Linked DNA regions of Pelodiscus sinensis. The protein of the gene in region 1 interacts with the protein of each later gene in a biochemical or structural test. Links are inferred from orthologs where the notes say so. Each region holds a gene or a part of one and is shown on either strand. Other genes may lie near its edges. The genes, in order: SLX4 and EME1.

Region 1 (16,185 bases):
CCATGCACTAGCACCATACGTGTGAGGTTATGCAGTGCGTAGCAGAATGGCATCCTCCATGCCTTAGGGACAGCCCTGACCTCAGCTGCTGATGGTACGATCTGCTTCTGCAAGGGGAGGGGTTTGCACAGAGCTCAGCAGTGTCAGCCAGCAAACCACCATGGGTCCTTGAGGCGTGTTATGTGTGTCTGGGGAGCAGGGAGTTGGAGGAGCAACTTGAAGCTCACGAGGCCACTGAGGAGTCAGGAGGCCAGTGGCTGTAAAGGGAGGGGCAGTGCAGATCTGCAAGCATTCGTTCATGATGCTCTTGGGAAAGGGAAGAGGCAACTGTCCATGCAGCTCTGAGCTGCCGGCAGTCCTGTTCGTCCCTGGACTCCGCGTTGCTCACTGTCCTTTCCCACAGGTGCTGTTTTGCTATGAGCAGTTTGATGAGCTGACGCTCCTGCACCTCCGGGAGTTTGATAAGAAGAAGCTGATCTCAGTAGAGACTGACATCGTTGTTGACCACTATAAGGAAGAGAAGTTTGAGGAGAGCCACCCAGGTAGGGCATCTCTTCCCCCCCCATTACAGTTGGTGCATGGTCCTGGGCTCAGCATGTACATTCTCCAGCTCGGCAGCCAGATGGGGCCGAGTCTCCCACAGGTTAGCCAAGGTGGTAGCTAGTGAGAATACCCTAATTTCATGTCCTCCCTCAAGAAAGCATTAAGGCATGTGAGCAAAACGCTCTCTAGTTTGTATCCTGCCTCTGCAGTGCCGGCCTGGCCCTGACCTGGGCAGCTGTCTCCTTGTATAGTGGCTAAACTGCTGGTGGCCAATTATTGCAAGTTCCTTTCCTGTCACTTCCCCACCTTCTCTGAAGAAAGGGGGGAGGGATGCAGCTGCCCCTCCTAAATCAGTGCTGCCTGCCCACTCTGGGAGACTTTTAGCCAGCCTGCCCTGTCCTGTGATGCTATTTAGGTGGCTGAGGATTCATGAGGCCAGTGGCTGTAAAGCACAAAGGACTAAATGTAGGTCTCAATAACGACACTGAGACCCCTGAAGCAGGAGCGCTGTAGCAGAGCTGTAAATTCTTCTCTTTAAAACAAAAGAAATCTAACATTGCCCTGACTAGTAGGAGAGCAGGCCTTGTCTGCTATGGACAGGAGCCAAGCAGTTTTCTTGTTTAAAACAATTAAGTTCACTGGCTTCTCTGGTCTAACCTAGTTTTAAAGCCCACTTTATTGTAATAGCAGACATTGCTGATGCCAGAGGGTAGGGCTTGGGATGGAATAAACTTTCTCTCTTTGTGCATGGGGTGGTCTCTGGAATGATGCATGTGTATCGACCTAGTGCAATCTCTCTGTCTGTGGGAGAGCAGATGGGTATGTGACATGGACAAAGCTGCTTTTCAGGAACAAAGCACACAATCCCTAGTGCTGCCCCATGGCAGTACTGTGATGTAACCCATCCTATCCCCACAGCTGCAGAACGCCTGACGGAGAAAGAGGCTGAGGAGCTGATGGCCTGGATGAGAAATGCTTTGGGTTCTCGCATCACCAATGTTAAGGTACGTGTGCTGTAGTGTTCCAGGAGCTAAAGGTGGAAAAGACCTATATAGATCATAACCTCAGAAAAGAGGAAGTCTGGTAGGTGGTCAAGGCTCTGAACTAGGGCCCAGAAGATGTGGGTTCAGCCAAATTTGATCTTGGGCAAATCACTTGATTTCTCTGTGCTTCAATTTCCCCACCAGTTAAATGGATATAAATTGTTCTTCCTTTGTCTTGTCTAGTCAGACTGTAGGTGCCTTAGGGCATGGATGGTCTTTAACTGTTATGTGGAGCACCTGCCACAATGCGGCCTTCTCTTCAGCTGGGCCACTGGATCCCATAGTTGTATAAATAATAAGTCTACCCCCATTTCCCTTCTGCCAGGGCAAGATGTTAGGAGTGTATCTGATGGTCTCACGCTTCTCAAGGGATAAGGCTGGAGCTACATGACCCTTTCAGTAATATTCCTACATAAACCCAGCTCTTGTCTTTCCTCTGGTGTGTCAGTTTCAGCCTTGCTCCTTTGGACACTGTCCTCGGGTCTGTACACCCCAGGCTGGTTTGGCAACCGCAGGGCTAATGCAGACTGGCTGCCTGCTCAGCCTGAGCTGATAGGCAGCCCCATGGCAGCTGGGGTATTAAAGGGCTGTGTGGCAGGAGGGCTGCTAGCAAGGCAGAGGGACTGTAGAGAGAAGCTGGTGCTAACAAACTGAGAAGCTGAACATGAGGCTGGAAAGCCCACGGATAAGGAGCAGCAGCTCAGGGAACAATTAGGTTCTTGATACAGTTTAATTATGGCTACTCTGAACAAGGGCCCTGAGCTGGAGTCCAGTGGATTGGGTGGGCCTGGGTTCTTATGCCTCATACCCAGACTAAGGAGGGAGAGGGAAAATGGTCATGGCATGTTAGAGGCCAGAGGAGTGAGTCCAAGACCGCTGGACTTCGAGTTCTTTGTTTGGCCCTTTCCGCTAGCTATGAAAGGAGATCAACTGAGCAGGGACTTAGCTAGAGAGTTAGGTTGTATAAGATGACAGGCTCTGTTGACACTCCAAGAACTGGAGGGGTTATTAGACTGACAGGACCGTGGCAGCACAGCTCCTGGACACAGAGAGGCACTCCAGTGGCAAGGATATGCTCCTCCAGACACCAGTTCTTTGGCTTGGCTCAAAGGTGTGATTGTGGTTGAATTGTTCAGGTACACTAGGGCTACCAGGGAGCAGTTAGGGTGGTAGTGAGTACGTGGAATGGTCAGTAACATTTGGTGGGAGAATAATTCCTTGAATTCTCCCTCTGTAAGCATTGGACTGAACTGAGACAGAGCTTCATCTTCATCCTACACAGCCCTCTGGGTAGATCATCTGAATTGTTCTGCCTCCGTACAGTGAGGGATGGGACTAGCTTGAGGGCAGAGAGAGGATTCAGGGCAGCACTTTCCTGGTGTGGGGATGGATGCTACAGAAAACCCTCAGGTAGGCAGATACTGGACAGAGGCAGAACCTTCGGGTAGGTAGATAGTGGCAGAGGCAGAAATAGAGCCACGTCATCCAAGCTCCCCACCCTGTGCTCAGTGTGTCTCACATGTACCATTCAAGCCATGGGCTTTCACCCTCTTGTAGGCAGTTTCTTGGGTGTGGCTGTAAGTTCTCTCTGAGCTTTGTGTAGATTCTGCAACAAGGGGACATTCTCCTCCCTGCCGAAATCCAGCCTTTGAGCCCTTTACTTTCCCCTTCCTCTGAGCCATGTGCATTTCCCATCTTGTCCCTGTTTGCTGTTCCTCTGACAGGTGACTCCACGTCTGGACACCCATCCGGCCATGATCACTGTGCTTGAGATGGGGGCTGCCCGCCACTTTCTGCGCATGCAGCAGCTGGCCAAGACCAACGAGGAGCGTGCCCAGATCCTGCAGCCCACACTGGAAATAAACACTGGGTGAGATGGGGCAGAGCCAGAGCACTGCAGCTTGCAGGAGGTGCAGAGGCAGATATTGGCTGGCATAGCAAACTTGAACCAGCTGGGATCCTCCATTCTCTTCGCATGTGTGCTGGTGTGTCTTGGCCTATGGAGCTGTGCCTAGTAATGGATACATGCCCCTGCCAGCCCACATGATGTCCAGCCTCATGGGGGAGTTCCCTGGCAGCAGCCATCTGTGTTATCCATGCAGAAAGGGGAAGAAGCTCAACAGATACAGTAATGTACATAACATAATCCCAACTGTACATGTCAAATGATGGGGTGTAAAGTAGCTATTACCACTCGAGAAGGATCTTGGAGTCACTGTGGATAGTTCTCTGCAAACATCCACTCAATGTGCAGCAGCAGTCAAAAAAGCAAACAATGCTGAGAATCATTAAGAAAGAGATAGAGAATATCTCATTGCCTCTAAATAAATTCATGATACATCCACATCTTAAATACCATGTGCAGATGTGATTGCCCCATCTCAAAAAAGGTATTTTGGAATTAGAAAAGGTTCAGAAACGGGCAATAAAAAAGACTAGGGGTATGAAACAGCTTCTGTATGGAGAGATTGGGACTTTTAATCTTGGAAAAGAGACTAAGGAAAGATTTGATAGAGGTCTATAAAATCATGACTGCTGTGGAGAAAGTAAATTAGGACGTTTTGTTTACTTCTCAACACACGGACTGGGGGGCAACAAATGAAATTAAAAGGCAGCTTGTTTAACACAAACAAAAGAGAGTATTTCTTCAGACAGCTCAGTCAACCTGTGGAACTCCTTGCCAGAGGATATTGTGAAAGGCAAGACTTAGACCAGGGTTCAAGAAAGAACTAAATCAAGTCATGGAGGGTAGGTCAATCAATGGCTGTTGACAGGGAAGGTGTCCCCAGCCTCTTTCAGAAAGTGGGAATAGGTGATGGGACGGATCACTTGATGACTACTTGTTGTTTGTTCCTTCTGGGGCTCCTGACATTGGCCACTATTGGAAGACAGGATACTGAGCTACATGGATCTTTGGTCTGACCCAGTATGGCCGTTCTTATCGGGCTTTTTCACACATTCCAGGGGTACTGCAACCCTGTGCTGATTTCTCATTCCATTGCAGGCATGCACTGATCAAAAAACTCGATCAACTGAGGGTCAGCCAGCCTGACTTGGCCCAGCTGCTGCTTGATCAGGTGAGGGCCATGTTTGCACCATGCTCCCTGAGCAGGCTACCACATCTGTGGGCAGTAAGGGAGTGGACCAAGGCTGTCTTGTGGCCAACTGGAATCATGTACCCAGTGATCCCCACTCTCGGTATTTTTAGTACGCAGTGACCATTTCCCTAGAATGTTTTGGTGTCATCCAGGGATGGGTCTGTGTTGCTCATTCTGGCCTACTACAATTCGTGTCTGGTGCAGAGCTGAGAACGATGCTGTTTACACCAGAGTGGGCAGCACTAGTGGGGGGGGGGGGGAGGGAAGGAAAGGAAAGGAAAGGAAAGGAACCAAGCAGAAAGAATTCATAGGCAGTACCTGACATTTAAGATGGCTCTCTTGAAGTGTGGAGGGATGGTAATTGTGTCTGAAACTGAACAGGGCTCCAAATGGCACCTCACATTCATACACTCGGGGCATGGAGTGCTGGAGAGCCACCAAGGTGGCTCCTGTTGCTAACAACATCTCTTCTCTGTGCCTTTGTCTCGCTCAGATTTATGAGAATGCCATGATAGCAGCAGGACTGAATGATGACCCCAGACCTATGGTGAGCCGTCTAAATGAGCTCCTTACCAAAGCCCTGGAAAAACACTGATCCCCAAACTGATCGAAGGGGCAAGCTCTGTGCCAGGTATCAGCCGCAGTTCCTTCAAGCACAACTTCCACTGTCAGCTGATGGAACAGCCGTCTGGTCCCAGACTCCGTACAGTGAGACTAGAATCTCTGCAGGTCTGCGTGGCACATGAATGTGCTCCCAAGTTTCACTTTAGAGAGAGGTTCCAGTTGTAAGTACTGGGCTGTGTATTACCCTTCCGGAATGGCATCATCCAGCTGAGATCAAAACCAGGAGATTATCGCTAAAATGATTTGCCAGGATTTCTGAGGTTGGCTCCAAAGTTCTAATTTCATATTGATTCCAGAAACAGTCTTTCCCAATAGCAAAATTGACATCAGGAGTCCACACTAGCTCCATGAAACAGCCCCAGATACCCATTCAGGAATTTGCCCTTGTACACTGTGGGCTCAGAACACCAGCTTCGGCCGAGCAAAATGAGTTTGTCACAAAACTTCCACCCAGTGGTTAGCAGGCACCGGGATAGATGGTTGCCATTAACAAACATAGGTCGGAGTGGTGTGGCAGATAAGGTAGCTGAGCCACTGGATAACTGAACTCATCTCTGTATCTGGGGATATATTTGACAAGCTCACTTGGCATTTTGAACAGTTTTTCCAGGGTTTCTGCCTCCCTTGTGGTATAATTGGCATGCCCTAGGTAATCGCTGTTCTGCTTATTTATGTTAAATAAATTCTTCATTTAATGATACCTTCACCAGGGGAATTTGCCTTATTTTTCTCTGTTGTGCCCCAGCTCTGATAGCATGACAGTTCATATCCTTTCACACACTCCCCAATGCTGAGAGGCAGCAGCGTCCTAGAATGGTGGGGAAGAGCTCCTTCTGCCAGTGGTGTGGGGGATGGGGAAGGCCATATAGAAGGAATTGGAAGGGAAGTAGGAGGCGAGTCCCTGAGCTATGAACCCTAATTCTTGTCCTTAAGGTACTAAGAGCTAAACTCCAGGTTTTTAACATGTGCTAACTACCCAGCAGAAAGGGCCTGAGAGAGACAAGCTACCATGGTCCTCTGTTTTTCTGTTTCACCGGGCAGTTGAGCTCAGTGTACAAGATTTTTTTTAATAACCAGTAGCATTGCAAACTCAGTGTGGGCTCTTACTGGAGAGTTCAGGATGAATCAGAAATAAGATTCTATAAGTAGAACTTGGTTAATGATTCTGGTGCCATGTGAGCCAGCATAGAATCAGCTCTCTCCCAGAGATACTTGAGCTCAGCAGGTGAACACAAATAAGCAGTAAAAACTTGTCACTAAACCAGCATTTTGTGATGCTGACCAGACAAAATTGAAGAGTAATGTTGTCATTTTTTAAATACCATAAACTTACCTCAGCCTTTGGGAAGATCAGAAAGTAGAGCCTTTCACCTTTCCATCTCTAGGATTAACTCAGACTAGCATCGTCAATGTGTGAAGTCTGTTCAGTGTCTATATGGTGGATCATGAGCCAGCTCTGCTTAAGGTATATGTAGCATCTTGTTGCTGTTTAGTCATTTAAATAAATACCACCCAGTAAATTGGACTTACTTATGGTCTGCATTATACTGTATATAATACTAAGGTCATGTCTACAGTACATGGAAGATTGATACTGCTGCGGTTGATCTTCTGGGGTTCAATTTAGCTAGTGTCGTGAAGATGCACTAAATTGAACTCAGAGGGTGTTTCCCTCAGCACCAATAAGGTGGTGTGGCGGGTATCCCCTGATCCTGCACCTCTGTCCGCAGCAAGATGAGACTCCGCCAGCCAGTAGAATAGAGAGGGTTTATTGGTTCTCCAGGATACAGTACAGAATTGACGTCATATGGTTACAGGAGTCAGGGCCAGGCAGCCTTGGACCCCTTGGGATAGGGGTCCACTAGCCCCTCAACCCCCAGTATTCAGCTTAGTCTCTTCATGTTTTTCCAGCAAAGACTGCCCTTCTCCAAGCCACACCCTTCTGTTGTTCAGATCCCTTTCCTCATCAGGTGAGAACTGGTTGGACCATGAACTACATGAGGAGAGCCTCCAGGCGACCCCCCCCCCCCCCCACTGGGCAGTGCTTACAGATGCAGGCCAGTAGGGGTCACCTGCAGCCCCCACTGCAACCAGTGAATGCCCAACCAGAGTGGACCTACAACCACTAGAGTAAACAGCCCCCCACTACGTCACACCTGCTCCTAGTGAGGAGTATAATGGAAGTAGCCGGGAGCGTTTGCTGGCATCAACCTCCTGCTGTGTGGATGGCAATTTAAGATGCATCGACTCCAGCTATGTAACTAACATAGCTAGAGTTGTGTATCTTAGGTCATCCTTCTGCCCTAGTGTTGAGCGGGCCCAAGAGTATAAATGAGGCAGTTCAAATTCTGGGGTCAGGCAAAACCTAAGGCTACATCTACAGTGGCAGCTTCTTGCGCAAGAACTCTTTTGCGGAAGAGTTCTTGTGCAAAAAATCTTCCACAAGAGCGTGTCCACAATTCCATGTGCTTTTGCACAAGAGATGTGCTTTTGCGCAAGAGCATCCATGGCAGTGTGGACACTGATGGTCATTTTAACCATAGGGGCTTCTTTCACAAGAAATTCATGTTGCCTGTCTACACTGCCCTCTTGTGGATCAGCTCTTGTGGGCTAATTCCTCATGGGGAGAGGAATAACTCTTCAGGAAGAAGCCCTGTTTTACAACGCTATACTGTAAACTTACTTGTGCAAGAATGCTCCTGCAGTGTAGACAGCAGGCAAGTTTTTGCGCAAGATCAGCTGTTCTTAGGCTATGTCTACACTGGCAGCTTCTTGCCCAAGTGTTCATGTAATTAACGGGTAATAAATTAGGCTCTTAACCATCCTTTTTTCTGAGGCTGGTCAGCTGACCCACAGGTAGCACTAAGGAGTCAAATACATCCTTAACATAGGCAATGCCAAATAGTTATAGACGGTGAAATCCAGTTTGGAAGGATGTGTCTGAGACCCTGTGCTTTGGGACTTGGACAGAATCCCTTGAAGGTCTGGCTGGGACTTTGAGACTGGACCAGCTCAAAGTAGTTCCCTGGGCTACGTAACTGAGAACAGAGCTTTGTTCATCCAGACTTCCTGCTAAAACATTCAAGAGAGTGTCTTGGGTAGAGTCCAGCGTTGTGATTTACAGACAAACCACAGGCCAGGAATCTGCACTCTAAGCTCCTTCACCAGCAACTGTTTAAAACATTAAGGGAGGCTATTGTTTCCAAAAGCAGAGAACTCGGGAGCCATTAATAATACTTAGTAATTCTGTTTATGCTTTGCAAACACTAATTCTCCCATCTCCTTCGTGAAGTTAGTCATTACTGTCTATTTAACTAGTGGCAAAACTAGCACTGAGGGTAAATGAATTGTTCAAGGGCACACAGTGAATCTGAGCTAGGGCCTAGATCCCAGAAATCCTAAATACATTTCAATAAAAAAATGGAACCAAGTCATTTGAGATGTACAGCCATTGCCAGAGTTTCTAGCCCAGCAGCTCCGGAGCCTTTTCTCCCAAGAGAATTCCTGCCTGTTCTCTGGTTCAGCTTTAATGTTTGAAAACTGAGGCACCTTTCAGCTCTATCAACTGTGACAGGTTGGAACCCCCCTCCACACACACACCACGCTGCCATCTGATATGCTAGTTTCCGCTGCACCAGGTTGCTCTTAGACCCATCCAGCACACAAGCAGGCAAAAGCAGCCCCCACAGCAGGGGCTGGAGTAACCTTCAAGGCCACAGTAGGTCTGGGGCCAGAGCAGCCCTTGACATCTGAAGTCATGGCACAGCTGGGGCTGGAGCAGCCTGTCCTGCCACTGGGTGGGGCTGCTCCAGGGTTAACTCTGAAACCTAGCACTTAACTGGTTAACATTTTAAAAGTTAATTAACATCCCTGCATTCAGCAAAGCCACTCAGGACACAGTCCTGAAAGGCTCCTCCCTTCCATGGAAACCACAAGGAAGCTCACCTTTGTTTCAGTAAGCACAAGTACCATGGGTGTCGAAAAAAATCTCGGTCCTCCTAGGGTGGCCCCTATACAACGGAAACTTTGTGGTCCCCGGGATATTCCTGTGAGACTCCTTATTGCCAGATCACGGGGCTTAGCCAAGGGGAACGACGGATCTGTTGTCAGCACGCTGGTACCCGTGAACAGGGCGAGTTCCCTCTAAGGCTGTGGTGCTGGGGGCGCGCAGTAAGCACGGATTCCCCAGTGGATGGCAAAGCTAAGAGGGGCCATTGGAGCGCTCCTGCTGCCTCATTAAACTCCCCGCAGGAGCCGGGAGCTGTGACTGGAGAGCCGTTCCGCACTCGCCCGTCTGCGCGTGACCGTTTAACCGACAAAACGCTCGCGCGGGCCCAACCTGGCTGAGCCGTTAGCAGCCGGTCGAGCCGAGGTGCCTCCGGAGCACGCGCAGCAAGGGGAGGGGCCGCGCATGCGTACAGAACGAGGTTTGGGAGGTGGCCTTTGTGTAGCGATGATGGGGGTTTACGCATGCGCGAAGAAGCCAGACGACGGAAAGCGGCCCACGAATGCTACCCGCTAACGGCCGCCGTTTCTTCTACGCATGCGCCACAGATTCTGCGCGTGCCTTTTGGGCGGAATGTGCTGCCGCCCGGCTTAGTACCCAGGGGTGCGGAGCTGCCGCCCAGCAGAGGTCAGAGGGTCCGGGGGAGGCCGGGACGAGACGATGTAGCGGGGGGAAGATTCTCTGTTGCGTTGTCAGCGGCTGGCGCAACTTCTGGTTCCCATGGAGACGTTGTCAGGCAGCACTGCCGTGATGTCACAGTGCCCGCTGTGATGTCATAGTGCCATCGCTGTCACGTAGCACCGCTCGGCGGCTTTGGCGTGAGGGGCGATGGTGGGAAATGTGGCGCCCCCAGCAGTGCGGGTGGGAATCCCAGCCGGTCGCACCCCACAACCCTTCCCTCCCGGCCCGGGCCGGGTAACGAACCGTGCTAGACCAAGTCTCTGTCCAGCATCAGCCCGGGGATCCGTAGCTCGGGTCTAAGGCCAGTGGAAACGGCGCTGCGCCATTCAGCCTGGTGTTCCAGGGTTTTAAACAGTGGCAACACCTTGAAGAGGAGTTGTGGGGGGCACGTATGACAGCGTGGGATTTGGTGAACAGATCTCCTTAAAAGCACGCGCAAAGCCACTGCTAAATTAGCCACTTTTTAGTACACCGCTCTAAAATTGTTGGCTTGCAAAAGCCGTGCTTGGCAGTGCACGGTTAAAGTCTATCAAATAATTACTGGTGAAGAAAATGTAGGTCAGGCGTTTCTGTTCTCCCAGGCGTACAATTCAGGAACAAGGGGATATCTATGGAATTAAAACATTGGCACATTAACACAAAATTCACAGGTTTGCCAAAGAGGCCATAACATTAGCAACATTCAAAAAGAGATTGAACATTTATATGGCTAACAAAGACTGTCCAATAGATAATGGTAACCATGCCAAAATTTTGAAAGATGCAAACTTCATGTGTCTGTGCTCAAACCAACCTTGTTAACTATTAGGGTGAGGCTGTCATGGTGGCAGATCATCCCACAGCTTCATAATGAGGTGTTTATGCATCTTTCTCTGAAGCATCTGATACTAGCCATCATTAGGAGGGTGGAGATGGATGGCAGGAGAGAGATCGCTTGATCATTACCTGTTCGATTCACTCCCTCTGGGGCACCTGGCATTGGCCACTGTCGGCAGACAGAGTACTGGGCTGGATGGACCTTTGGTCTGACCCAGTATGGCCATTCTTATGTTAGAAACAGCACATCAGACTAGATCGATCGCAGATCCAGTCCAGTGTGGCAGTTCCTATATTCTGTAGCAGCAGTTCTCAAACTGTGAGTCCGGACTCCAAAATGGGTCTTGACCCAATTTTAATAGAGTCTCCAGGGCCAGCCTTAGGCTTGCTTGTACCTTAGGCTGAAGCTGAAACCTGAGCTCCACCCACACCTAGGGCAGCGTGGCTCCAGGGTGGTGGAGCTTAGGCTCTGGTCCCTTCTCTCTGTCCCCCTCTCCTCCTCCCTGGAATGGCAAGTCTCTGGCTGTGTTCTCTCCCCCCACACCTAGAGCGGTGGGGAGCAGGCTCTGTCCCTTTCTTCCACCTGAGTAACTCTGTTGTCAGAAAGGGATTGGGGTGCAGTGAAGTTTGATAACCCCTAGTCTATACTATTGTTCTGTGGATTGACTATTTCATTATCTAGCATGGCATCTATTCCTAGCATTATGTTCAGGAAAAGTTAAATTTATATTAGTTTAAAAAAAAAAGCCAAAACAATTTTGCTATGTAGGGCCTGCTTCTCCTATCAGAAATGCTGTTGACTTCATTAGAGTTAAACTGGTAAGAGAGAGGAATCAGGCCTTTTGTGCAGATTCTGTGTGTAACCAAGCTAGGCATAGATAATAAGCCCCATTAGCAATTTGCGGTAAAAATTAAAATGTGGGATTTTGTTAAAAATTGCATGGATTTTCCTTGAGCTATCGCAGCTCTCTCTTATCGTCACAGATATTTATAGCCGTCAGATTCGTAGTTACTTGTTTCACTCAGCTTTGTACTATTGCTTAACTGTAGCAGATGCAGGTTCACTCAGACCATATTACCTGGGGATGCAGCAGTTGCATTCTCTCTGCAGCATCTTCAAGGCAGCAAAGTGGAAATCTACCTTTCACTTCCAAGATCAGAAGGGATTAGATACCAAAAGAGCCGATCCTGGCTGGAAAAGCAAGGGATGTGGTGATTTAAGACAAAAGCTTTTGTCCTGTTATTGCGGACATTCACATGCTGAACTTTATTGTCAGCTCTGCCACTGGTCTCGTGGGTGACCATGGGCCAGTCACCTTCCCCCTCCCTTTCTGTCTCAGTTTCCCAATCTGTAAAATGGGGTTAATGATACTGACCTCTTTTGTAAAGTGTGTCAGGATCTACTGATGAAAAGCACTGTATAAGAGCTAGGTATTATTATTAGTTATCAGGTAGTTGAATTGACTGATGTATGGTCCATCTGTCCCTATGTCCTTACTTCCAACAGTGGCTTATGCAACATGCTTCAGAGGTTACGAACAGAACAGGGCAATAATAAAGCGATCCATCTCCTAGCATCCAGTCCCAACTTCTCTCAGACAGAGATTTAGTGGCACCTCTGACCATCTGAGCTAATGCATTCATGGACCTATCCTTCATCATCTTTTTCAATGAGTTCCACAGATAGTGTTAAGAAGTACTAACTCAGTGAAATTAAGGGCTCTCTGGTTCTTATGTTAGAAGAGGGGTAAATAACACTTCACTTTCTCCATACCATTAGTGATTTTATAAGCCTTTATCATATCCTGCTTTAGTCATCTCTTTTCTAAAATGAGCAGTACTCTTGGGTTTTTTTTGTTTGTTTGATTGTTTGGTTTGCTCTTCTCTCTTTTTTCAGATTTTAAGATATCTTTTTTGTGATGAGGTGACCAAAACTGCATTCTGTATTCAAGGTGTGGGCATATTATAGATTGATGTAGTGACGTTATATTTTCTTATTTATCTCTTTCCTAGTTATTCCTAACATTCTTTTGGCTTTTTTGATTGCCGTTGCACATTAAGATGTTTTTTGCAACCCCAGGGATGCAGAGAAGCCATGCCTTGTGAACAGTGTAGCAGTACAGTGAGTCTGCCATACTATGGTTACAAAGGATATTACTGTGATGAGCATGACATACAAGCCTATGTAGCACTGAACTGAGAGAGACTGCATGAGGGAAGGTCTGTGAGAGGCTCCTCAGGAAGGTCTGCTGTAGATCTGTGGGTTTCTCTCCAGCAGCAATGGGAAGTACTGAGGGCTGTAGGAAAGCTTATGGCTACAGTACTTGGGCTGGAAATATTCCAGGGGGTCTCTTTCTGCTGTGGGTTCCAGCACAAATACCAATTCTTTCCCCATGCTGTGTTTTGACTGGCGTGATTGAAAACTCTGCTTCCAAGCTTCCAGGTCCTCTGTAATAAGTCTTCAAGGGAGGGGAAGTAATATTTATGGTTCCAGCACAGCAGCACAGAGCCCTCCCTCTTCCTGGGATCTTTCTATAATTAGAAAACTAGTTACTTATGGAAAAAGAAACATTTAATTCCATTTTTGAGGAATGAAGTGCTTCCAACTTTCCCTCTATTTTGATCCTTCTCTTGAGACCTCCTTAAGTCTTTCAGGGACCATGTGCCACTGCTTTCTAGGTCTGCTGTTGAGTGAGGTAATGCATTCGTCCAGTCATGGCTGTGCTGCTTTTTTCGCAGTCCAAGCTCTGTCTGGCGCCAGACTGTTAACTCAGTCCAATTCTCCTGCACTTCAGTGTGAGGCACTGCAGCTGTATCATCAGTTCCTCATAGATCTCCAAAGCTGGAGTCCCCTCCTGCAACCCAAAGCTCTCAGCCCCACCCTGGAGCCCACACTCTAGTCACATTATGTTGGGTTGCGGGCATCAACAATTTTCTTCAAGATGAGGAAAAAAAAGTTTGAAAACCCCTGATATAAAATATGTGTGTGTGTGGTTTTAGTTCCACTCTGACATTCACTTCCAGATCCTATTATGTAAAAGAAAAACTCAGTCTCAGCCCATTCGTAAAGTAGGAAACATGCTGTTATGCATGTGATAGTGATGTTTAATGCCAGGAATCTTCTTTGAAATGTTTGTGCCTCCCCTCTTAGCATGTTCTGTGTCTGTGGGTAGTTCTCTGGTTGACAATACTTTGTGTCAATGATATGCCTTATCCAATCAGGGTTTTCCAGCACTGATCCTCAGAAGCTCCACCTAATTCCAGACTGTGCCTATACAAACCATTCTTCATTTACACCCTTGTTTATTTCTTTTGTTTAGATGTTATCATAAAGCTCCTTGCACGGCCTTCTAGCACATCATGAAGATCCTGAAGCGTCCTCTCTCCAGAGTGCATTCTCCATCTTTTATCCAACTCGTCAGAGCACAAGGAAGTCACCTGAATATGAATGATAACAAGTGGACTCCTTGAAGACTCTACAGGACTTAATGGCTAAGTTGGAAATAGAGAGGGTGAAATATTGGACCAGCCAGAAATGTGCCCACGTTGATCTTGTTGGAATCCAAAGTGTGCAGACTGCAGGGATGGTGCATAAGGCAAAATGATGACTAGGTCATCGCAGGAAGCAGACCTGCGCTGACCCTGCTGCCAAGTCCAGTACTCCCACATGCCCCATCACACTGAAGCCGAGCCGAGTGCTTTGAGGCTGGAAGCCTGATGGAGGAGTTGGACAATGATTTTAAAGAACTCTGTGCTAACCTCTTGAGCAGGGTGAAGAAAAAGGCTGGAGATGCTGAGGGAGGGAGGAAGGTTCAGAGCAGGACGAGGAGCACTGCCACAAAAAGCCAACTGAAAAAGAGCAAGTCAGCTGCTAAAAGCAAAAGCCAACCTGGGTCTTCTATTGGAAAGGGTGTGGGGTGTCCAGGGCCCACCACCCCCAATGGGCAGGCATTGGGGCATGAACCAGAAGGGGAAGCCACAGCGTGTGGAAATGCTGGGCCTCCATTGGGTGATGGAAATGGAGACCCTCCTTCTGTCACTCAGTTGCATGCAATGGCACCAAAGTGTAAGCAGAACAGCTTGGCAGGTAACTTGTCCAATCTCCTTCCTTCTCTCTGAAATATTTCTATGGAAAATACCCTGGGGCTGGAAGGGCTTTCATGTTCAGTGGAACATTTCTAAACTCCACCAGGTCGGGCCTACCAGGCAGTTAGGGTGGCATAGGGTGGCATTTTGCTCACTCATAGTACAGTAGAAAGCACTCCACTTGTTAGACTGACACCTCTGACTGTCCCTAGTCATTGTTCTTCAGCACATGCTGTCAGGTAGGCGAGGCCTCTCCAGCTGTCACATGAAGCACCGAGCTGGAAGGGTTCCCCAAAGCAGCCCAGGCTGCAGAGAGGTAGTTTTCATCCCACCCTGATAGATGTTCTGGCAATAGACTATGCAACAGCCTGAAGCAATGGCCAGACCAACATCACTGGGCCACAGACTCCCAGCCAACACTCTAGATCAGTGTTTCTTAAACTGAGGCAATCGGAAGTGTGCCATGGAGAACAACAGAGTTCAAAATGGCCACCCTTAAAGGAGCAGGCGATTTTTTTTTTCTCAACCAAAAATCCTTGCTGTTCCTCATACAAAAAAAAAATTGTTTGGTGTTTCTTGGTCTTAAGAAGTTTAAGAAACACTGCTCTAGATTCTGATTTCCAGCCTCTACCCATTATAGAGCCTGAGAGATCCTACTGCTCAGCATCTCTCAGGCCCCATCATTGGAATGGAAGTCAGAACTAGGGATGTAAAATCCCATTTAATCAGTTAATTGGTTAAATGTTATGTTTAACCAGTTAACCGCTTAAATAGGGGGAGGCAGGGGGCTGCTCTGGCCTGGCTGGAGCACTTCCTGCCTGCAGCGGGCCCCACCAGTCTGGAGCAGCCCCCTGCCTGCAGTGGGCAGGGGGCTGCTCCATTGCCTGCCAGTTCACTGTAACCAGTAAGAATCATCCTGTAAGGGTGATGCTAACCAGTTAACCATTCACATCCCTAGTCAGAACCTACATCACTGGTTGGAAGTCAGTTTGGCCCAGTGGATAGAGCATGGACTGGAATTCTGGAGATCTGGGGCCTATTTCCACCTCTGCAAGTGAGCTGCTGGATGACCTGAGCTGGACATGTCACTTCTCCATGCCTCAGTTTCCTCATCTGTGACATGAGATGGGGAAATATATTGATGACACTGAGTGCCTTTGTAAAGCACTTTGACACCTTCTGGTGGAAGTGCTATGTAAGAGCTAGGTGTGATTATTATTACAGGGTGAAACTCAGTAGGTGAGCATCTTGTCCATCAGAATCCGCATACTCTAAAATCAAGAATGGC
Region 2 (15,957 bases), on another chromosome or scaffold:
CTTAGCTTACAAAATAAATCCCACTCACTTGAATGGTGCTTCAGCCACAGCTTTGGTGAACATACCGGCAAAGTCTCCAAACTCCTTCCAACTCTCAAGGATTCTAACCTGGACTCCTGTGTGAAGCTGCAGATCCACCAATGCCTGTAGACATGACAGAGCCCAAGAGTGAGTGAGTTGACTCATCCTGCCCCACCACCAAAGTCCAATCCCTAGCATTTTTGCTTAAGGCAAAGATTTAGGGGATATTTTGGGAGGAGAAATGAACGCAAGAAGCCTCTGAAAACAACCACATTAGCATATTTTCTGCCAAAAAAACTCAGTGTGTAGACACAGCCTAAAAGATTAACAGTTTGGAGTGTTGTATTTATTGCCTCGAGTTGCTCTATAGCAGTGATGGGCAACCTGCAGCCCGATGGCCACATGTGGCCCCTTAGGGTTCTACGTGTGGCCTGTGAGACATTTAGTTTACTGTTACCAATGCGCACAGTTGCCAGATTATGCTGATTTCCATCTGCATTGATTTTTTCCCAACCGGTATTTTTAAAGCAAAACACACAAAGCAAGGGCACACAAAGTGCAACACTGACAAATGGGATGCAAAGGGTGTGCACCCAATCAAAATGTTGCTATGGTTCATTTGGCACACCCCAAAAATTCTAGGTAGGCAAGCACAATTAGCAAAACTACCCTATCCCAAGAAACAATCCTGGTTATGAAAATCTTGTGGCTCACTGAGATGAAGGGCCACTCATGAGGCCCACCCACTAGCTTAGGTTGCAATAGTTGCTCTATAGAAAAATTAGGCATACTGTATTCCAGATTAAACTATTTTAGCAGATTAACATTTCCTTAGCGAGGACCCTGTTCTGCACCATTTACTCCAGCCAGTGTCCATTGCACACTCTGGTAACGGTTATCCACTGGGCTGTAAAGAACAATGAGCGTTGCATCAAAGATTTACATTAAGGGAATGATATCTGAAACTGACATAGGGAAGACACTCTGGTTTCCAGAGAGGAGGGATGGATGTGCAGCATTAGAGTCCTCTAGCAGCTGAATAGCTCCATCTGATTCAAGCTGCCTCCCTAGCAACAAGAAGAGTGCAAGAGAATGCATTCAGACACACAAAACCAAGTTCCTGGATTCTTACTAGAATCAGAATCCCTGGGTGTATCCTATTTCTATTAGATATGTTCAAGTCAGTTGCTCTTTGGTTATGGTAGAGAACTGAGGCTGACCCACAAATGTATGCATGAAGCACATCAGAATGGGCATTCTAAATTGCTGAGAGCAAGGAAAGGAGAAAAATGCTCCAATTTTACCCACTTCTTCCACTTCCACTCTCGACAGCTCAGGGCGAGAGTCCCCCTTTCCCTTCTGTTTTTTTCGTTTCCCTTGTCCTTCTGCTTGGCTTCCATTCAGCACTGCCTGCCGCACCTTCTTCCGGGACTGAACTTTGTGAGATCTGAGAAGAAAAAGAATAGCTCAGGAGTCCACGTCTCCTATGATGCTAGCAGAAGGCACTATAGGACTGGTGCACAAGTGCAGTCGCTGGGGAGCTCAGTTACCAGCCATCCCCTGGAGGAGATGCTGTATGAAACAGAGAAGGAAGACTAGTTACAGAGGATGTTACTGCTATTTTTCATGTTTCAGCCTCTGCCAGTAGGAAATACAAGTGATGATGCAGAACATCTATGGTCATTACCAACACTTATCCCATAAGAAACAGCATTGAAACCTCTGAAGAATTCTAACCTGAAGTATTTTTCTAGTTCAACTACAGCCAGTGCTAGAGTTTTGCCAGGAGCTCTCTCTAGGACACAAGCTACAAAGCTCCGTAAGGTCTCTTTTGGTCCTTCTTTGCCACCCTGGATTTCCTGCAAAGACAGCCAAAAAAATAGTATTTAAACCCACTTTAACCCACACAGGCCAGCACTAGCAAAGAGTAGCTTCAGCCCCCATTCCTGGATCTGTGCAGATGTAAGGGTTTGCTCACTCATATCCAGTTGTAGAACTGGAATTTCAGGTTCCAGTACTGCAGTTAAGTCAAACCCTGCAACATGCAGAGAAATTTCTGCACATCCCTGGCCTCCTTTCAATACAGCAGCAATGGTCCGGGGGGGGGGGACAAGAAGGGCGATTTCCATCTCGCAGGTTCAGAAGGCTTGACAACACTGGACATTCATAGAGTTTTAAAACAGGAAAATTTGTACTGCCCTAAACCTCCAAAAGAAACTTATGTAAAAAGAAAAATAAGTAATGCACATTTGGACAGCACACAGTAGTCATGAGCAATCTCACCTGTCTGTAGCTGTAGATCATGGATAAAAAATCATCCAGGCAAAGCAGAACCAGGATATTGGGTTCTTCTATCCAGCTGCCTTCTTCGACCTGCCCAGTGTTGAACACACACTGGATTTAAGATATCAGTGAAACTGATCCCAGCTTCACTTACATCCAGGGTTTTAGCCACACATGAAACATTTCAACGTGAGAGCTTGTTAATGGTCCACCTCCCTTGAGTTGATTGCTAAAAGGAGGCAGGAGGACAGTTACTAAGACTGATGATGAGTTTTATAGTGCATGTGGCATCAGTTTATCAATAAGTTGAGAGAGAGCATGCAAAAGTCTGGGAACAACAAGAGACCAGAGTGGTCATAGGGATCAAAGAAATGTGACCCCAAAGTGGAGAATATTAAAAGAGCTCAGCAGAAAGAGGGGTCAAAGATATGGACAATGAATTGTGTTTATAAAACATTAATAGATAATGTCAATCTGCTTTACAGAGAGTCACTATTACAGATTAAAGTGAACATCAACTACCCTTCTGAGGAGGTATAAGGCCAAGAGTGAGCGAGCAATTGCAGAAGTAGATGGGCACAAGATCAGAAGTATTGTGGAGGAATGTCTATTGATAATTTTGAATGCAAACAAAGGAGTTTAAAATTGGATTCAAAGATAGATAAGAAGTCAGCAAAGGTAATACAGAGGATGTGGATGTAATGGTTCCACTTCTGAGAGGAAAAGGGGTCTGGCAAGAGCATAACTGAGGTTTAAAAAATAATACTATAGGAAATATTTAGAATAGTCCAGAAGGGGAATAAATGTGCAGGTAGGCATTTGAGAGGAGTTAGGCCCAAGACAAACTGGCACTATTTTAGCGGAGAGGAAAAAAAATTTTCAGATTAAGAAAGCATTCCAAGATTTTTGCCCTCACAGCCAGGACTTATGGTCCAGGTTTATTCCATGATTCTGAAATCACCAAGGACATTTTAACTCAGGAGGAAGACTAATTTCTGAAGCATTTAACGGTAGGAAATTAGGGGACAACCAGGAGCTGAGGGTATGTCTACACTACAGAGTTAGTTCGAACTAACTTAGTTCGAATTAGTTAATTCGAACTAAGCTAATTCGAACTAACGCGTCTAGAACTAAAAACTAGTTCGAATTAGCATTTTGCTAATTCGAACTAGCATGTCCACATTGAGTGGACCCTGAACAGGGCTTAAGGATGGCCGGAAGCAGTGCCGGCAGGGCATCAGAGGAGGACTTAGAGCGTGGAGATGCTGTCTCAGGCTAGCCGAGGGCTGCGCTTAAAGGGACCCGATCCCCACCCCGGACAGACAGTTCTCAGGGGTGCCCCGCTTGAAAACCAGTCCTGGCTTGGAGTGCCGGAGTGCCCACACTGGGAACATCACAGCACTCGGCCATCAGCCCGGCTGCACTTGCTGCAGGCTGCCATCTGGGGAGAGGGGGCAATTGGGGGGCTGCAGGAGAGCTTCCACCCCCAGAAGCCCGCAGAGCCAGCCCAGTCCTCCCCATCGGGGGGCTCGTACCCCATTCCTCCCTCACCCCCTTCCACTTACCCTTCCCTAGCCCCCCTTCCTGATGTACAAAATAAAGATAACGTTTCTTCCAACATTGATTCTGTCTTTATTGAACAAAACTGGGGGAGACTGGGAAAAGGAGGTGGGAGAGGGGAAGAGAAAGGCTGGGAGAGGAGAGGGCAACTAACATGATCGGGGGTTGGGAACAGGTCCCAGATGAAGAGAGGCTACAGAGACTGGGACTGTTCAGCTTAGAAAAGAGGAGATGGAGCGGGGACAGGATAGAGGTCTCTAAAAGCAGGGGTTGGGTGGAGAGGGTGCATTCAGAAAAGTTCTTCCTGAGTTCCCATAAAGAAGGACTAGAGGACACCAAAGGAAAGGAATGGGTAGCAGGCTTCAAACTAGTAAGAGAAAGTTGTTGTTCTTGACAAAGCCAATAGTTAACCTGTGGAACTCCTTGCTGCAGGAGGCTGTGAAGGCTAGAACTACAACAGAGTTTAAAGAGAAGTGAGATAAAGTGATGGAGGTTGGGTCCATGGAGTGGTATTAGCCAGGGGGTAGGAGTGGTGTCCCTGCCCAAAGTTTGTGGAAGGCTGGAGAGGGATGGCACAAGACAAATGGCTTGGTCACTGTCTTCGGTCCATCCCCTCCAGGGTCCCTAGGGTTGGCCGCTGTCGGCAGACAGGCTACTGGGCTAGATGGACCTTTGGTCTGACCCAGTACGGCCATTGTAAGCTCAGGGCTCAGGGTCGGGGGTCTCAGTGGACCCCCTTGATTTTCATGCACACCTGCTCCTGGGTGGCCAGGCTGGCAGCTCTCCTGCCCTAGACGGCCACTTTCCTGTGCCTAGTGCGGAGTTCGTGGACAAGGTCCACGATGTCTGCACTAGCCCAGGAAGGTGCCCGCCTCTTGCGGTCCCGGGCAAGCTCCCAGGAGCCGCCAGCCTGGTCCCGGGAAGAGGGGGTGGGCTGGGGGACATCGGGTGGGTGGCTCTGTGCCGTGCCAGGTGCAGGGTCTGCTGGCTGGGTGCTGGCAGGCTTGCACCTGGCACGGGCACCGTAGCCAGCCCGTGCCCCTTTAAGGGGTCCGGGGCCGGGAGGGGGGCAATAGAGTTTCCCTGGTGTTGGCCAGAGTGGCCACCAGGGAAACCTGGGGAGGGCTAGCCTCCCACTAGTTCGAATTAAGGGGCTACACACCCCTTAATTCGAACTAGTAAGTTCAAACTAGGCTTAATCCTCGTAAAATGAGGTTTTCCTAGTTCGAACTAAGCGCTCCGCTAGTTCGATTTAAATTCGAACTAGCGGAGCGCTAGTGTAGCGCCTATGAATGTTAGTTCGAACTAACGTCCGTTAGTTCGAACTAACATTGTAGTGTAGACATACCCAGAGAGAGACATAGCAAGCAGTATGACAGCGTGTGTCAAATCAATGTGGAAATGGGTGTTATCTTGCTAGAAATAATGCCAAAGCTTGAGAGAGAGAGAGAGAGAGAGAGAGAGATAAGAAACAAAGAAAGATACATCTGGGAGCAGCACTCCAGCAGAGGAAATGAAGGGAAAATCTAAATCTTCCTCCAGAAATGATACAGGTGGCTCACAGGAAGCCTGAGAAGAAAGGAGCCAGAGTTACTGGGAAAGAGATGAGAATGGCAGTCTTGGAGTGTTTGGTTACATAGTACAGAGAAGAGGAGATAGTGAAAACAAGTGAGAAATGACATTTCACATGCAAGAGAAAGACCAAAGAGAAGTCAGTCTCATTTTAAGATTATCTTGGTAGCTCATGGACAGCACAAAGCTACCACCAGTAACATCTGATCACCAAGCAACACAACCCCATGTGCTAAACACAGAGGAAGAAAAAGGGTGAGAACTTTGGACGTTGTGGTCCCCTACCTGAGATGACCTAGCCCTCCTCCTCCATGTGATGCTATAGGGAACAGCCTGACTCTCAATCACACAGCCACAGTTCATGGACTGCACAGCACTGAGGACTTGTCCACCTCCTTCCACCTGTAAGAGAACTAAGATGGGTGTAAAGGTCAAAGGCCTACAATAAGGGCTGCATTAATTTAAGGTTGAAAGAAGAGATAAGGAATGGTACCTGGATCCAGCACCACTGTTATATGCTTCAGGCACTCCTCTGGTCGTTGGGCCTTCAGCATGTTGGCAAGAGCCTTCTTCCGCTCTCGCTCCTGCTCCTGCTGTTCCTTCTGGGCTTCCCGCTCTCTCCTCCTCTGCAACACAGCCCTACGAGCTCTGTCTCTCTCTTCCTGGCTGTGTTTTAACTTCTTCTGCTGAGGGGACATTTCTGAACTTGCCTCTGCCACCAGAGACCGTCTATCCTGGACTGGAGAGTGTGACAGATGAAATGGAGACTGGTGCAAAGGCACCGTCTCGGAATCTTTTGTGGCATCATCTTGGTCACAATCTGACATTTCCCATGATAAGACAGGGGCTCTTGTCTGGGTATCAGAGGCCTTGGGCAGCAACTGTTCTCTGCAATGAGTCACCCCTCGTTCATTGCAATGACGGAGAACAGTACTTTTAGCTTTACACACCGCATCACAGCTACTCAGCTGCTGAGCCTCAGAAAGCAAAATGCTAGTTTTGGAGGACTTGCTGTTCCCCAATTTCCCCCTCAGTCTTTCAGACAGGGGTATGATCTCCTCTTCCTCCTCGCTTTCACTGCCTAGCCTGGCCGTCACACCCTTACAAGAGCTAGCTCTGTCCGAATCCTGGAGTGTTCTCCACCCTGGCGAAGGAGCAGAGGATTCCTCAGAGTCAGAGCTGCAGAGCACCACAACCCGCTCCTTGGAAGGAGGCTGGCTCTGGCTGCGGCGGCAGCGGCTGCTTTCGACGGCAGGATGCTGTTGCTTTAGGAAAGTGAACTTTGGCAGCAGGTCCTCGGCCTCGCTCTCGTCCGACTCCAGGGACATGGCGGCCCGTCAGTGGCGCCTGAAGAGCAACGGGCAGCAGAGCCCCGAGGCGCGGCTGCAGACCGGCCCCGTGCGCCTCCTGGCCGCTCCCTAAGCCCCCGGAACAGCCTCGCTCTGCCGCGCCCCAGAGAGGGGACCCGCTCTCGTGCGCCGGGGACACGAGCCGACGCGCGGCCGGCGGGGCGGGTTCCCCGGGGCGGCCGCGGGCGCGCGGGGCTCCGCTGAGGGAGCGCCGGCGAGCCCCGCGCGCGCCAACCTCACAGCCCCCCCCCCCGGCAACGGAGGGAACGCAGGCGCCTCCCCCTTCGGCGTATTCAAACTGCCGCCGCCTCTCGCTCCTGACCGGAAATCCTGTGCCGGAGGCGGAAGCAGCCGCACCGGAAGCGGAAGTGACAGTGAGGAAAATGGCGGTGGCAGGGCTCGGGCGCGTTGGGGGCTTGGTGGCGGTGACTAGGCTGCGTGAGTGTCAGAGGGGAGGGGGCGATGGATGAGGGGTTGGGGAAAGGGCGATGAGTGCAGCCCGGGTGAGGGGGAAGGGAGAAGGAAGTAGCCCTTTCCCCCAGTGCGCCCCCCCAGCGGGGGGTGTGGAAGGCCACGAGCCCGGTGACTGGCCTATGGCCTGTAAGTACCCGAAGGAGCGGGGTGGTGCCATCGGTTTGCACCGCCGGCCTGTAGCGGTTACAGCCTAACGGGGAGGGGAGGCTGCCTACACCCAGGCGCCTCCCACCCGTCAGTGGTGTTGGGACCATTGAACGTCCTGGACCAAACCAGGGGTGATCTCAGCGAGGGTGGCACAAAGAGGTCGTGGTGGTCTGGGTACCTGATGTGTTCCCTCGAGGTTGTACGTGAGCCTATAGATACTTTTTAAAGCACTTTGAAATCAGTGAATGAAAAGCATTATAGAAGGAGTAGGTGTTATTAAGTGATCCATTACCCCCTTTCCTTCCCTCCCTCCTTTAGCTACCTGCTTTTTGCCTGTTGGGTAATCTGTCTAGGGTTCTGTATCATGCTTAGCACTCCTGCGTCCCTAGCACAGCACGTGAAGTTAGAGTAATCAGATATACTAATAGTACTAATAAAAATATACAGTTCTGCCACATCTGGGACATTAAAATCTATATGCCATGCATATTTGCCCATGCTATGAGACAGTGAGGTTACTCTGCTGCTTACAGCTGTCTACCTGAGTGTAGAGCTGGCCCAAGGTATATAAGATCTGACCTGGGAGGTAGGCAGGCATCTGTTACATCTTCACTCAGTGGAGTTACTCTGGTTTTATACTTGTTGGCCTGTTGAGCAGTGTGTGGTAGGGAATACTTCTGCGCCTGGTCAGGTTTATCTTTTTATTTTTAACTGATGAACTAGTATGGGTTTGTTGCAAGTCTTTGTGCCCAAGAAGGAAAATCTGAGTTCTAATTTTTTTTTAAAAAAAGTCTGTTGCTCCTTCCCCTCTCTGCCACCCAAAATATGCCCACTTCCTAATCTCTGTTTCTCTCCAATGGAAGCTCCCTGTTAAGATTTGAGGAGGTGGGGACCATTGAGTTGCAGGGCTCTCTCTTGTTTGAGCAGCAGTTTAAATTTCACCACCACTTCTTTGGAGTGGCCAGCAAGGAATTGTCGCTCATACATACTGGCTGGTGGATACAGGAGGGAAATTCCATAAGATTAGGAGGTGTCAGTGGTGCTTCAGCTGCTTCATTGTTCAGTAACAGACTCGGTTGTAGACTAGTGGTTGATCTTAAAGCTTTTGAACATAGGGATGTTAAATATCGGTTAATTGAATAGTCGATTAACCTCATTAATTCTTATCAGTTATTCGACTATTCTGTAGTCCGTGAGGGCAGGCCTAGCAGTCAGTACGCTCTGGACCCACTCCAAAGGAGCCCCCTGCCACTCTGCACTGCTGCCTCTGGGGTGCTGGGCGGGAGCAGGTCTGTGAGTAGAAACAGTTTAAAAAACAGCTCCCCTTGTGGACTGGGCTTCCTGTCACCCTACACTGCTGCCTCTGATAGAGAGGCAGCAGTGCAGGGTGGCAGCAGCCCCTGTTCAGAGAGAGTTCTGAGCTGCTGGACCCAGCGTGAGCTGGAACTGAGCTAGGCTGCCTGCCCGCTTGGCTCCTAATGGCTTTTAAAGGCAGAGCTGCCGCAGGGGTAGGTCCCAGCTCCGGCGCAACCTGGGACTGAGCTGGGCTGTTGGCCATCCTGCCAAAAAATGTATTGGCAAGGGGGGGTTGGAAACGATGCGTGTAGTTTATAGCATTTGGTTAATCGACTACACTATTACATCCCTATATGCAGGGCTCACCGAACCGCAGCGAGCCCCCCTCACCAGCCATGCTGTCCGGTGATGTGTGCATGCGCAGATCGCCCGAATCTGGCTCTTCTGGGTTGCAATCTACTCGCCACGGGCAAGTAGATTGCATTATTTGTCGAGCCCTGCCTATATGAGCAGGCTTCTAAAACCACATTTTTGTTGCAAGACCTCCCTCTCCCCCCAAACCCTGTAAATTTTCAGTTCATCATTTTACATCCATATACAACAAAACAGCCATCTGCTGTGGTTTGAAGAACAGCTACTTAGTAGATAAGCCACCTAGGGGAGTCTCCATCAGATACTGCAGAAGGGGAACTGTTCTGGGTTAATGGTAGGGATGTTAAAAATGCAAAAGGCAGCAATACGTTGCGGGGGTTACAGGTGGCTCCCCAGGAGCCAGTGTGCACATGCGAACCGGAGCTTGCATTTAATATGTACATGGCTACACTTTCACATCCCTAATGAATAGGTGTTGGTCTAGAGTGGAGCAAAACAGGGACTTGAAGGAAAGAAATGGTGTATTGAACTGGAAAATTTTTAAAGCAAAGAGCCTGGCTTTGTTTTACACAGGAAATATCACATGTATTTCTAACCTACAAATCATTCGCTCGAGTCCCTGAATTTTTCATAATGTTCCATGGTATCTTTACAGCTGTTACTATCCAGGCAGGCCAAGGCTGGGGCAAATGAAGTGGCTGTATGGTATTCATGTGGAGTTTAAGAGGCTGGTTTTGACTGACATGAAACAAACTAGATATAAATAGCTTGGCATCTGCTCATTTGAGAGACTGCCACTCTCTCTGTGCTGTGCTGCTGCCTTTACAATCAGCAGTGGTGCTCATGCATAAAGTCCTTTCCTAATAAAACAACAACAGAGAGCTGCTCACAGGGCATTCTCTGGGAGGGGCTCAGAACTTTGGAATTCTGTCACCAGTTCATAATGAGACTTTGAGCAAGTACTTTGAGCTTTGAGCCTTAAGTATTTATCTTTTATAGATAGGTAAACTTCCTACTATATTTGATGGTATGTGCTTTAACTGATATTGGTAAAGTTCTTTGATGTCCTCACATGAGGTACTATACCGACGCATAACATGATTTAAAATATAAAATAATTACATTACCGATCAAACAAAGATAGTTACTTAGCTACAGATTACATTTAATCCCAGTCTAGTAAAAATACTTTGCTAGGAGCTCTGAAAATCCCATTACTTCCCTGCCTCATTCCGTCACAACCACTTTCTTTTATTTGTTGTATTCTAAACATGTATAATAAAATGTCCTTTATAAAGACATCCTCCAAATCTTTATTTAAGTATCTGAGATAATTTAATAAAGATAAAATGAATCCATTGCCTTTCTTTGAATAAGAAAATGAGACTCTTGGGCTGTGTCTACATTGGCACCCTTTTCCGGAAAAGGGATGCTAATGAGACACTTCGTAATTGCAAATGCTGCGGGGGATTTAAATATCCCCCGCGGCATTCGCATGAACATGGCTGCCGCTTTTTTCCAGCTCGGGGTTTTGCCGGAGAAAAGCGCCAGTCTAGATGGGATCTTGCGGAAAATAAACTTGAAAGTAGGAATAAGGGATCTTCCGGAAAAGCGTTTATTTTCCGCAAGATCCCATCTAGACTGGCACTTTTCTCCGGCAAAACCCCGAGCTGGAAAAAAGCGGCAGCCATGTTCATGCGAATGCCGCGGGGGATATTTAAATCCCCCGCGGCATTTACAATTCCGAAGTGTCTCATTAGTATCCCTTTTCCAGAAAAGGGTGCCAATGTAGACACAGCCTTGTAGTAACCACTGTTTAGCAACACTCTAAACCAGTGTTTCTTAAACTTTTTGAGACCATGGAACACCAAACAATAATATTTTTTTAAGCGGAACATCTATGAAAATTTTCTTTAAAAAAATTGTTGTCAAACAAAAAAAGACAAAAACAAAGAAGAGGTCATGGCACACCTGTAAGTTGTTCATGGAACACCAGTGTTCTGTGGAACATAGTTTAAGAAACACTGCTCTAAGCTGAATAGAAGGATTTAGATAAAAGGCAAAAAGACTATATGAAAAAGAACTAACTATATCCAAACTTATGAAGTGGAATTCACAGACAGGTCAGACTTTCTTGAGTATTTATTGACAGTGGATTTGGTGTATTTGATTTTTAATGGAAGAACTTTGTGATGTAAAAGAGTGACATACTCCAAGAAAAGAAAGATGAATCAGTTACTATCACACTTTTTTTTTTTAACCCAGGCCTTGAATAGTAGGGTGTGTGCTGAAATTTGTTCCCGTTCAGGACCGCAACCACATGGCTATGTATTGTTCACTATCAGGGTCTTGATGATAAAACTGTTAATTGTTATAGACAGTTAACTGGGGCTGTTAAAGCATTTTACAGACACTAAATCATTTTTACAGACACTAAATCATTAAGGCCCACACTAATACTCATCACACAGGTAGAAAACTAAGACACACAATATTTGTGACTTGTCTCAAGTTCACGGAGTTAGTGGAAGGTAATCCCAAGTGTCCTGAATTCCAGTGCCGTGCTCATATCAGTTGGCTACACTGACTCTTCTGTAACTGTTTCTGTAGCTCAGAAATTTAAAGTGCATGGCCACAATTAATAGCAGATTGTTTGCATTTATATACACTGTTGAGAGTTCTGCTACTCCATTGAGGTATTGGGAGGCTTTCTGAAGTGTTTCATGATTGTTTGCAGGAGAGAGACAATGGACTAAATATGAATTACCTTTATAATACATTTATTCTGAGGGGTTTTTTTTTTTTACCTGATTTAGGCTTTAACATTTGTTTTGAAATTACATGAATTTTGAATTAGGAATTTTTTTCTGATTTAAAAGGAAGTGTAAATTTGTACTCATTTTGAATTCACTGTTAATTTTTTTTCTTCCTTTAAATACAGTTTTGGCTGCTCCACAGGTGACTGCAGTTGCAGTACGATGTGCAAGCAAGAAGAGTGGAGGCAGCTCAAAAAATCTCGGTGGCAAGAGTCCTGGGAAACGCTATGGCTATAAGAAGACAGAAGGTAGGTCAGTCTGTCTGTCTATCCAACTGCTTGACAAACTCTGGAATGTGCCCTCCACAAGTTACCCCATTATCAGGACTGTTATATGTGTTTCAGAGCTCAGATGGGAGCGTTTGTTTGTGACTAAAGAGAGAGAAACCCGAAGGTTTAGCCACTATTGGCTACAACAACATTGCATACATAACCACCATTGAGAGAGTAGCCAGCAGGAGCTCATTCCCTGATCCGCCTACGTTCAGCGGAATGAAGTTACCAATAAGAAACAGGCACTGGTTCTAACTTAGCTTGTCTCTGGGGAATCTGCGTGGAAGCACACCCCAGGAGGAAACCCTGTGCCCTTTCCCCTCATCCTGTGCTCAGAAGCTGGGCATTTCAAGTATTTATAAAGAGTAGAATTATGAGGCTTAGTAGAAGCCAAAGTACAGATGCCTGTATCTGAGTGCCTAACAATTAGGGTGGGTTTGCTGATGGAAAAAACTGATGTAAAAGGCAATAAAAATGCCTGCAGCAAATAGAAAATGCCTTGTGCCCTCGAACTAATCTTTTCAAAGGTTAAAACTGCTTTTCACCATTGTGTATTAAGTGCCCTGTGTTCTCTGATAGGAGCATTTTAAAAATGTTTTTAGAGTTTGGAATCATTCCTCCTTAGGAATCCCAACCACGGCTGGCTTTGTGAGTTCTCATTCTACCAGAACTCAGGCTATTGAGAAGCTTATTCTTTTGTAATCTGAATCCATGTAACTCTGTTGCAGGTGCCTTTGTTCATGCAGGCACTACATTGGCCACCCAGCGGGTGATACGCTGGCATCCAGGGGCTCACGTGAGTTAGTTTTTCATCTTTTATAGCTCTGCATCGCAGTATCCAGAATTCAGCCGTAGCTCTGTCAAGGCTCTTCTCTGTTTCCTCCGTTGCATTTTGTAGAACCTTAAAGTCACTGTTTCATTACCAGACATGTTTTACCATTTATTCAAAACCATATCAGTGCAGGAGTCAGATTTAGTAAACAACTGGAGAGTTTTGACTGTTACCAACATTTGTATGTGAAGTGGGGATGTTAAATACGGTTAATTGAATAGCTGAGTAACCTCAGGAATTCTTACTGGTTAGTTGACTATTCTATAGTCCTTGGGGGTGGGGCCAGCAGCCAGTGCACTCTTGCCTCACTCCTGAGGAGTCCCATGCCACTCTGCAGGCAGGTGATGGTCCATGAGGGAAGCCAGTTTAAAAGCCAGCTCCTTTCATGGACCAGATGCCTATTGCCCTGTGCTGTTGCCTCTGATAAAGAGGCAGCAGCGTGGGGTGGCAGCAGCCCCTGTCTGGGGGCAGGTCTGAGTTCCCAAACCTGGCACAAGCTGGAATTGAGCCGGCCTGCCTGCCCACCCAGCTCCTAATACATTTTAATTGCAGAGCCACAGCAGGGATAGGTCCTGGACCCGGCATGAGCCAGGACTGAGCCGAGCTGCCTGTCCACCCAGCTCCTAATACACTTTAAATGCAGAGCCACAGCAGGGGTAGGTCCCAGACCTGTCGCAAGCCAGGACTGAGCCTGGCTGCTGGCTAGCCTACTAAAAAACTTACTGGTGGGGAGAGGAGAAATGCATGTAGTTTATAGCATTAACCTATACGTTTTTGCTTATTGGTTACTCGACTGCACTATTACATCCCTAGCATGACGTTAATCAGTTCTCATGCTTCAGGGTTAGAATAATGTATCTTTTCCCATAGCATGTAGAATTGTTGGCAGTTCCCCGAGTGCAGTGCTTTTTGCCTTCTTTTGAAGTATCAGGTACTGAACATTGCTGTAGCCAGAACACCAGACTAGCTGGACCAGTGGCATGTTCCACTTTGTTAAATGGTGCACAGTGACCTAAACGCTTTCTAACAGCACACTTCTCCTCTCTTCCAGGTGGGGATAGGTTGTAACAAGACACTCTTTGCTTTGGAGGATGGGATTGTGCGATTCACCAAGGAGGTCTATGTGCCACCACCCCGCAGCGAAGAGACCAGGGACGTGATCTGTTGCCTACCCAAATCAGCAGTGCTTTACAAAACCTTCATCAACGTTGTCCCCACCAAAGAAGTGGGGAGCTTCAAGCTAGTCACCATGATCTGAGGCTCTGCTTCCCCACACAGTAATGACTGATCACCATGACAAACCTGCCACTCAACCAGAAAGAAGTCTGAAGGACTCCTCTAGATCTGAAATGACTTGTTGGCAACTCCAGTTTCTGGTTCCTAGAACTCACTGGATGTAAATTTGAGAGTTACAAAGTAGTCCAGACTGCCCCGATGCTGTTTGTTGAAGCATATATAAAATAAATGTTCTGGGATTCTCTAACAGTGTGATGGTGTTCGTGGAATAAGTTTAAAAACAAAAAGGCTCAGTGAATCTGCCTTTCCCTTCTGGATAGCTGTGCTCCAGTCCAACTGGAAATACTGTACTTTCTGCACAGGAATTATCCAGTTCCAGGCACAGCCATTTTGTTTCTCACTATTCATTGGAACAGTTCCTGTCCTGACTGCATCTGATGTACACTGGGAATTCTGAAAAAGGAATAGAATCTGAATTCTAATCCCAGCTTTGGTACCAGCTCATTCTGTGGCATTGGGCCCCTGCCTCAGTTTCCCGATTCATTATATATTTGAGAGTTTCTGTCTGTTGAAGAACTCCTTCTAAACAGTAAGAGCTAGGACCACCAAAATGGGTATGCCACTTCCTCTTATAATTTAAAGCAAGATCAGGGTTTGGTTGTGCCAGGACAATGGGATATGCCTGTAATGTGACTCTGTTTTATGAGAAACAAAGGGAGGGATCTGATAGCAGGGACAGTTAGCTCATATAATGACCACAGTGGGGCGGCAACAGACAAAAGATGGGCATCAGGACAGCTATAATCCCACAGAGGCAGGGGTGGAGAAAGCAACAGCTATCTACTCTATATTTGAGAGAGTTTGTAAACACCCCTACGCCTGTTGTGCCTGCTGCAGCAGCCATGGAGAGATGCTTCTCACATGACCGGAAGCTGCTGCGGTGAGACAGGGCTGGGGTTGTTCTCTCTCCCTGGAGCTGCCTGCATACTGAGCCCCCCAAACCAATGATTTACAGGAAGAAAAACAAAAAGTATTTGAGTTAAGGAACTGAGCAACGCTGGGTAAATCTTCTAGTTGGTAACACAGGGATAATGACCAACACTTTGGAAACATGAACTCATAATGTGTGTGAAGTAGGAAAGCAGCTATTCCCATGGGGGAAACTGGAGCATGGGATTTGCTGAAGGCTCCAGAGTCAAGGTTATTACTCAGGAATTAGTGATTCAGTCGATGCCTCCTGGTTTGCGCTAACTGTAATCACAATTTTTAATAAGCAGGAGTGACCTATGTGGGGATCAGATGCTTTATTGAATCCTGTTGTCATTCCTCTTCCTCTTAATGAAAGAGTTTTTAGTATATTGGTAAAAGTAATAAACCTGCATGCAAGGAATTACTGGGTTCCCAATGCTGCAGTTTATTGGCAGGAACAAGTACCAGAAGGAGCTATGTCTATTGTTTGTGGTTCTCCTCAGAGGGGAAAGTCCAGGGAGACCCAAACCACCAACTCTGCTCTCATGATGAGCTCTGGGTGTACTGGCAAAGCTGCAAGCCTCACACAGAAGTTTCATTGTAACATTCCTGTCAGCTTTGGTAGAATAGGGAACTCCAGGTGCTCCCTGTCCAAAAGACAGCTGCAGAGAATGAGAATGTTTAATCATGAAATAGCTTTGGAGTTACGGCCATGTCCCGTCCTGCCATGGTGAGCATATTTAAAAGGGAAACTGCCA

What was found.
Region 2: the proteins of SLX4 (region 1) and EME1 form a complex in vitro, tested with the Homo sapiens proteins (3 studies listed by BioGRID, with this or other methods). The link is inferred for Pelodiscus sinensis from reciprocal best matches to the Homo sapiens genes SLX4 and EME1.

What each region holds. Positions count from the first base shown.
Region 1 is NC_134726.1:3,758,397-3,774,581, forward strand, and holds the start of SLX4 (structure-specific endonuclease subunit SLX4), read left to right. Parts: upstream 1-9,795; 5' UTR 9,796-9,941; intron 9,942-14,131; 5' UTR 14,132-14,528; coding exon 14,529-14,898; intron 14,899-16,185. Other genes in the region: TRAP1 (heat shock protein 75 kDa, mitochondrial), read left to right, coding at 404-542, 1,462-1,547, 3,311-3,456, 4,591-4,663, 5,178-5,279. UniProt on the Homo sapiens protein: Regulatory subunit that interacts with and increases the activity of different structure-specific endonucleases.
Region 2 is NC_134730.1:13,961,853-13,977,809, reverse strand, and holds the start of EME1 (structure-specific endonuclease subunit EME1), read right to left. Parts: upstream 7,039-15,957; 5' UTR 6,765-7,038; coding exon 5,930-6,764; intron 5,850-5,929; coding exon 5,722-5,849; intron 2,395-5,721; coding exon 2,305-2,394; intron 1,881-2,304; coding exon 1,759-1,880; intron 1,469-1,758; coding exon 1,330-1,468; intron 145-1,329; coding exon 29-144; intron 1-28. Other genes in the region: MRPL27 (large ribosomal subunit protein bL27m), read left to right, coding at 7,274-7,385, 12,016-12,138, 12,891-12,958, 14,046-14,252. UniProt on the Homo sapiens protein: Non-catalytic subunit of the structure-specific, heterodimeric DNA endonuclease MUS81-EME1 which is involved in the maintenance of genome stability. In the complex, EME1 is required for DNA cleavage, participating in DNA recognition and bending.